Linked DNA regions of Macaca mulatta. The protein of the gene in region 2 purifies or fractionates together with the protein of the main gene of each other region. This does not show direct contact. Links are inferred from orthologs where the notes say so. Each region holds a gene or a part of one and is shown on either strand. Other genes may lie near its edges.

What was found. Proteins that work in one complex are often made in the same cells at the same time.
Region 1: the proteins of WDR5 (region 2) and CCT7 purify together in Homo sapiens (affinity purification with mass spectrometry; 3 studies listed by BioGRID and IntAct, with this or other methods). This does not show direct contact. The link is inferred for Macaca mulatta from reciprocal best matches to the Homo sapiens genes WDR5 and CCT7.

The regions. Positions count from the first base shown.
Region 1 is NC_133418.1:51,484,103-51,487,665, forward strand, and holds part of CCT7 (T-complex protein 1 subunit eta), read right to left. Parts: intron 2,683-3,563; coding exon 2,494-2,682; intron 1,864-2,493; coding exon 1,766-1,863; intron 1,420-1,765; coding exon 1,287-1,419; intron 513-1,286; coding exon 306-512; intron 1-305. UniProt on the Homo sapiens protein: Component of the chaperonin-containing T-complex (TRiC), a molecular chaperone complex that assists the folding of actin, tubulin and other proteins upon ATP hydrolysis.
Region 2 is NC_133420.1:8,377,330-8,381,595, reverse strand, and holds the start of WDR5 (WD repeat-containing protein 5), read left to right. Parts: upstream 1-1,453; 5' UTR 1,454-1,500; coding exon 1,501-1,589; exon of another isoform or gene 1,590-1,717; coding exon 1,718-1,881; intron 1,882-2,121; exon of another isoform or gene 2,122-2,240; intron 2,241-2,295; exon of another isoform or gene 2,296-2,990; intron 2,991-4,266.

The DNA.
Region 1 (3,563 bases), on a different chromosome or scaffold from region 2:
TCGAACTTCTGACCTCATGATCCACCCACCTCAGCCTCCCAAAGTGCTGGGATTACAGGCGTGAGCCACCGCGCCCAGCCACAATCATATTCTTGGTAGAAGCAATGAAGAAACCCTGGATCTCCAGTGCTAGCACCATGGCTTTCCTTCTGCCCTCAGAGGAGGCAGGTGGTCAGGTAGACAGGCTGGGTGGAGTTGCAGCCTATCTCCTGGGCTACGCGTGAACAGCTTGAGTAAGCACAGCTCACATTCAGAACCCAGCCCACCTGCCCAAACCCGGAACCCTGGGGAGAGAAAGGACCCACCTGGGCATGCCGAGCCCGCAGTTTGTTGAGAATGTTTGTGGCATCAAAGCCAGCATTGTCACACAGCTGGCGTGGGATAATCTCCAAGGCCTTGGCATACGCCCCAATCAACAGCTGCTGTTTTCCTGGAATAGTCCTTGAGTAATCCCGCAGGTACTTGGAGAGCTCCATCTCAATGGCCCCGCCACCAGCCACCACTGAATCATTCTGCAGAGATCAGACCTCTCAATGGAAGAAGGCCCCTGGTCCAAACTTCCATGCGGGGCCACTCAGTAGGTCCCTTCAGCCCAGAAAGAGTGGTTCTTCATTCCTTCCTCCATCCCAAGCCCCAAAAGCCCAGACACAGTCCCTATCTAGAACATCCCAACTTCAACCTGCTGAACCTTATGGTTTCTATTTTCAAGGTCACCTGCAGCTCAAAGACATTGGCACAATTACTGGAATACCTGACTACATTAGATCCACAGTTTGCTAACAAAATCAAGTGTTTCTTCTGCTTGCTCTGTTGCCCAGGCTGGAGTGCTGTGGTGTGATCATAGCTCATTGTAGCCACCAACTCCTGGGCTCAAGGGATCTTTCCACCTTAGCCTCCCAAGTAGCAGGGACTGACTGCAGGCACATACCACCATTCCTGGCTAATTTTTTTTTTTGTAGAGACAGGGTCTCGCTATGTTGCCCAGGCTGGTGCCAAACTCTTGGCCTCAAGCAACCCTCCCACCTCGGCCTTCCGAAGTGTTGGGATTACAGGTGTGAGCTACCACACCTGGCTAAAAGAACAAGTCTTAGCTTTCAAGGCAGGATGACCTATTTTTGAGAAACTGAGGCTCAGTTTCTCTACCATTTGTGGGGCAAATCAGGGCTCACCACACCACCCAGGAAAGGGCAGGTTATATAGAGAAGGAATCACCACACAAATCCAAGGTCTGATCAGCTAGGGAGATGAGAGTAGGCTGTGCAGGCAGGAGGCCATCAGCCCCGTACCTTGATGGCCCTCCTGACGATCATGATGGCATCATGCAGGGACCGCTCTGTCTCCTCCATAAACTGCTCGGCACCGCCACGGAGGATGAAGGTACATGTCTTGGCCTTGGGGCAGCCAGTAAAAAAATTGTACCTATGCCCAGGATTAAATAGTACACACATGAACTCTTGTCTGCCACCGTCCTACTGTATTGCTCTCACTGCCAGCCCTCCCAACACTCAGCAGCTGCTCTTACATTCTTCACTCAGGTTACCCAATCCCAACCTTACAGACGCTTTCTTGGAAAGGTCTACAACTGTACCACCAGGGCATAGAAGATTGTGGAGTCAAGGCTTTAGATCTTCCTGTAATGCTGTACATTATCTGAGCTCTTTATGGCTCAAAGGTGAGACTCCGTAAAACCTGTATACCACAGCCGAAAGATGGCAGAAGACCAGATCCAGGCGGGTTGTGAGCTCGGCCTGGGCCCACGGCTCACCTCTCGCCTCCAATCTGGGTCTCTTCAAACACCTGACATCGACCCAGCACATCTGCTGACAGAGCATTCACACTGGTCTGGATTGAGCCTCCACACGCCTAGGGAGCAAGGAAGGCAAGATCTAGCAGTGAAGGTTCCCGAGGCCAGGTAGCTTCCTGCCACCTCGTCTCAAGGCCAATTCCCATGCCTCTGCATTACCCGCCCTTTCCCTTGACTTCCAGGCGACCCTTCCCCACCTCTGAAAGAGCAAAAAACCAAAACAGAACTAAAACACATCAAGGGCAAACAGGAGAAGTTAAAAAGGAGATAAGGACCCATTCGATTCAGCTTATACTCCCTCCCCTAACTAGGGTGGCACTGGGTCCGGCACCTGAACTCAGGAGTACTTTAAACCTAAAAGTATCGTTTGTGGGATGCTCATGAAAGGGAAGAAATTTGGCTAGAAGAATCCATATTTGAGTTTGTCCAGCTAATCATAGCATTACTGCTAGGTTCTCTCACAAACCAGATTTCTGGACTTGTTTTGGTTAGACTGAAGTAGTTTGTGCCACTGGGCACACACACATGGAAATGGAGTGCTTCCTGGAAAAAAAGAGAGTTAAAAAAAAAAAAAAAACAGGGCTCAATTCACATGCCAACCTGACAGTACACTATCTGTTATACCAGGGGTCAGTGAAAACCCTTCAGGGCCACAAAGGCCAAGAAGCAGCCTGTGAAAATCTGGTTACCATCATTGTCCTCTTCAGATCCTCCTCAGGTACTCGGCCAGCACAGAACATGTCCCTGTCAGCAAAGTACTGGGTGGCCACATCCCCAATGGGGAGTTTGGACAAGACAACTTTGGCTCCAGAATGATGGATCTTCTCTAACTTGTCATAGAGAATGTTCCACTCAGCATCAACAATTGCCTGATAATCCTGGAGAGACCCAGAAAAGGATGAGAATGCTTTGGGGTGAAGGTTGACATATATGGTAAGGTAAAATACACCCACCCGCCCCCACCAAATAAAACATGCTGATTTATCTGGGAATTAACAGAGATAAACAGAATAGCCACTCCTCAGTCCAAGCAAACAAGGACCCCATAAGATGACTTACGAATCACCTGAAACTCCCCAACACAAAAACAGAAAGTAACCCCAAGGCTGAGAACCAGAGCTAGTGCTGTCAAGATGTGAGAAATAATTTAACCTGGCTGAGGTCTAGCCTCTTCTGAGGTGCTGGATTCATGGAGTTCCCAATAAGACCCCTTTGGCTGGGCACAGTGGCTCATGCCTGTAATCAGAGCACTTTGGGAGGCCGAGGCGGGTGGATCACCTGAGGTCAGGAGTTCAAGACCAGCCTGGCCAACATGGTGAAACCCTGTCTCTACTAAAAATACAAAAAAAAATTAGCTGGGCGTGGTGGCACATACCTGTAATCCCAGCTACTCAGGAGGCTGAGGCAGGGGAATTGCTTGAACCCAGCAGGCAGAGGTTGCAATGAGCCGAGATTGCACCACTGCACTCCAGCCTGGGCGACAGAGTGAGACTCCATCTTGAAGGAAAAAAAAAAGACCCCTTCCCCAAGAACTGCTCAAAGATGGGTGACACGGCTACCTCCAGAGGTAGCCTGGGTAACATCAACAATGAGAGCACACCTGTCTCTGCAGCACTAGGTCTAGTCTAGAAGTGGAGGAACTCACACCTGCACCAACAAGAGGAACCAAAATACCAGGCAGGCTATGTAGCTATAGAGGCCCTGCCAACCCCTTCCCCAGGACCAAAGCATATTTCAACAGGTCTGCCCTATCCAAATT
Region 2 (4,266 bases):
AAACAGAAGAGAAAATAAGAATCACAGAAAAGGAACAAACATGTTGGATATTTGTTTTTCAGAACATTAACTAGGCTTTGGCCACCAGGAGTGACTTAGTAAATGGAACTGTTTCTCTGAAAAATTTTTTTTTTTTTTTTTTTGAGACGGAGTTTTGCTTTTGTTGCCCAGGCTGGAGTGCAGTGGCACGATCTTGGCTCAGTGCAACCTCCGCCTCCTGGGTTCAAGCGATTCTCCTGCCTCACCCTCAGGTGATCCACCTGCCTCAGCCTCAGACTCAGGTGATCCCGACCTCAGGTGATCCACTCCCCTCAGCCTCCCAAAGTACTGGGATTACAGGCGTGAGCCACCGCGCCAGGTGGGATTATCTCGTTTTTACTAGAAGGCTCTATCTCCTGGGGGTGGGATGGGGTGGTGAGATCAATTCACCTGGAAGTGGAAGCTGGGAACCTGGTTTGAGTTCTGATAGTTCTGGGGTCCAGCCCCTTATCTTGCTTCGCCTGGAGGGCTGAAGGACTGGAAATACTTTTGTTTTGGGGCTGGAACGCGGGCTGCAGTTTGGGAGGCGGCGGTAGTTTGGAAAAGGAGGCGGGGTCTGGTAAGCACTTTACCCGAATTGGGCAGTGGGAATTTGGGAATTGAGGACAATGGGAAGCTGGTTCTGAGTTTTAAACTGGGGAGTGACAGATCAGAGCTGGATTTTTAGGAGTTTCTCTGTCTGCAGGTTTAAAAAAGACCCGGGTGGGAGGTAGGGCTGGGGTGAGGAGGGAGAGAAGTGGACGATCTGAGAGCTGAGGCGGGGTGGAAGGGAGAGCAGCCTGTCAGGGGCTCGGGATTCCGGCCCAGGCGGCCAGAGATAGAGATGAGCTTCTTTCTCCGAACTGGGTTTGCTAACCTGTGACTGTCACTACTCCATGCTCCAGGGCACCTGGCCCAAGGGATCAAGCCTTTTGGGCACACAGATCCACCTGGAGCCCTGAAGGACCAGACAGGGACCTCGCCTTCTCTGTGTCCTTCCTGGGAAGGGGACTCCAGACCAACTGCCAGTCTTCCGGTTCCACCTCTCTGACAACCGCTCACCTCACCCTCCTTGGCATCTTTATTTCAAACGCTCTGTCCTTTTGTTTGCACGGGTTCCTGTGTCACATTCTGTGTTCCCATTTTTAATTGGAGAATAAGGGACTGCGTTATTCTACCCACAGGCCTAGCTGAGGGGATAGGGAGGCCGTGCCTACCTCCAAGGCTCTACGAAGTGAAGCAGGCGAGAATGTGCAGTCGTCGAGGCCAGAGGACCGGGCCTCAGCTTCTCCTTAAGACCCTGAGTCCTCCTCTGGGGACCACCCCGTTGTACCTGGAGGAGAAAATGCCCGCCCAGGAGGGAAGGGTTGGCCCCCAGAGAGCCCGCTGCGAAGTGAGTTTGCGCACTGCGGAGTGACTCCAGCGCGGCTCTGCCAGTCCGCGGGGCTGGCGGGGAGCAGGTTCGTGCACCGCGGGCTCTGCATGCAGAGGCGGGAAGCGCCCGCAGCCCGGCAGCCGGCCCAGCGGGAAGGCGCAGCCCGGGCTTCCGAACCCTGTGAACGAACGCGCAGGTTCCTGGTCTTCCAAATGGGCAGGAGTCGTCCTACCTGCCTGGGGTGGGAGGCCACATGGGGGCACTGCGCCCGGGAGCGGTCCCGGGTGTTTTCCAAATGCCCACTGCTGCTCTCATCCGTACCAGCGATGATCAAGAAGGGGCCTGGTCGCCCGGGGAGGTGCCCCGGTCCGACTTGACTCCGGGGACAACGCCGGGCGACGCCATCTGCGCAGGTCCCGGAAGGCCGCTTGTGTCTTTGTGCAGGGCGTGCTGTCTGTGGAAACGCGAGGGCACACTAGCACTTTCCTGTATGTATCATTATACTTCAATTTTTAGGAAGTACATTAGGAGGGCCTGCACCAGCCAAATTCGGGGATTAAAGCTTTTAAGCGGGAAGCACGCGCCCCGTGCTGTCCCTTTAAAGCGTTGGGCCGGCCCGAGGCATTCTGGCCGCTGCCGCTGCCCGTAGCGCTCCTCCGAGAGGCCGGCTTTGTGAGCTCGCCCCGCCCCCAGGACACCGCCCCCCTCCCCTCGCGCACGCGCACTGCGCCCCCGCCGCCTGGCGCCCGCCCGAGCTGCCGCCTCGTCGAGCTGAGTCCGCGCTCCCGCCCAGGCGGCGGCCGACGCGACGCCCCGAGCGCCCGGCCCCGCCGCCGCGGCCCGGCAGGTAAGCGGGTAGCCGCCCGGCCCGGGGAGCGCAAGGCGGGCAGCGGGGCGGCGCCAGGAGCCGCCAAACCACCCCCGGCCGCCGCACGTGTTCCCCGCCGGGCCTCGGGCCAGGCCCAGCCCCGGGCGCTGCTCCAGCTGCAGCGGCCCCGCCCGGGACCCCCGCCCTGGCCTCTCGGTGGACGGCTGCGCGCGTAGGCCCCTCCACCCCGTCCGCCCCCACTCGCGCCCCCACCTCCGCTTCCCCGGCGGGCCACTGACAAGGCCAGAGCGCCGGCACTGGGGCCTCTTTCCCGCAGGCGGCGTACCGGCCTCACATCGCCCCTCTTCCTCCTCTGCCCCTTCAAGGAAGGACCCCAGACCCACCAAGCCACTCAGTCCCTGGACGTGGTGCGCTTCCCCTCCTCGTAGAAACGCCCCCAGCCCGCTCCCGCCGCTCACCCCAACCCGAGGTAGCCAGGCTGCAGTTCGCTAGGTGGGGTCCTGGGGTGCGGGTCCTCGGTCCTAAACGGGGGGCCCACCGTGCCTCCTCGCGCGGGGCCGCAGACCTGTCCTGGCCGATCTGCGAGAGCCATTTTGAGCGGTTACGTTCCGGGACCAAACTGAGGTCGGCCTGTTATTTATCGCTAACGACACTCCCTGCTGTCTCGCTTGCAAGTTTCCACTCACCCAGGTCCGTTTACCCATCTCTTCAAATGCTAGTTTAATCTGTGACCTGGGCAGGTGCTGTGCTAGCCGGTGGGGAAGACAGGTAAGCGAAGGACCCAGGCGGAAGCCTGTCCAGGATCTCAGAGAGGTAGAGCCGGGTTCCCACCTGTGTTGGGCTGGCCACCTGGCTGGTGTTGAAGATGCAGATTAATTCTTGTCTTTGCACACAGTGTGCTCTCCTGACTGCACGCCGCAGGCAGGTTCCTGGGCTGGATCTCAGGGACTGAGGGACTCAGGCATCAGCCTGTGGCATGCAGTCCAGGAGGCCATACTGAGATTTGGTTGCTGGGCTTCAGGTGGTCAGGCTTACCTGGATGAAAAGCAGTGGCTGCTAGGTGGAGTCAGGCAGCAGCTGGTCTAGAGGTCACCTCCTCATCACCGTGCCTGTAACCTCGGTCCCCCCCCTTTCCTCAGTATCAAGTCTCCAACCTTCCTGTTCCCTCAAAATGATTGTTCCACAGAGACACCTGGTTGGTCATGAAAATGCCAAGCCTTGGCCCAGCGCGGTGGCTCACGCCTGTAGTCCTAGCACTTTGGGAGGCTGAGGCGGGCGGATTTTCTGAGGTCAGGAGTTCGAGATCAGCCTGGGCAACATGGCGAAACCCTGTCTCTACTAAAAATACAAAAAAGTAGCAGGGTGTAGTGGTACGCACCTGTAATTCCAGCTACACAGGAGGCTGAGGCACAATAATTACTTGAACCCGGAAGGTGGAGGTTGTAGTGAGCCGATATCGTTCCGCTGGACTCTTTGGACTCTGTCTTAAAAAAAAAAAAAAAAAATGCCAAGCCTAGATGCCACTACTGAGGTAGAAACTTGGCAGGTGTGTTGGGTCAAGAAATTGCATCTCTCCCCCTACCACCACCACCACGGAATTTTTCACTCTTTGGCCCAGGCTGGAGTGCAGTGGTGCAATCTTGGTTCACTGCTATCTCTGCCTTCCAATTTCAAGCGATTCTTCTGCCTCAGCCTTCCCAAGTAGCTGGGATTACAGGGACCCGCCACCACACCGGCTAATTTTTGTATTTTTAGTTGGGACGGGGTTTCTCCATGTTGGCCAGGCTGGTCTTTATCTCCTGGCCTCAGGATCTGCCCGCCTCCTGCCTTGGCCTCCCAAAGTGCTGAGATTACAGGCGTCAGTCACCACACCCTGCCACTGTATTCTTAAAAGTCAGGTTAAGGTTGTTTTGTTTGTTTCTTTTAAATGTTAATGGTTTTTGAGCCCAAAGGGTTGGGCAGGTTGGGCTTGAGCTGGGAGGGGCTGGGCACCTTTTTTGTAAGACCGCCTACCTGTTGTTCCTCATGTGAGGGTGTTTCCAGG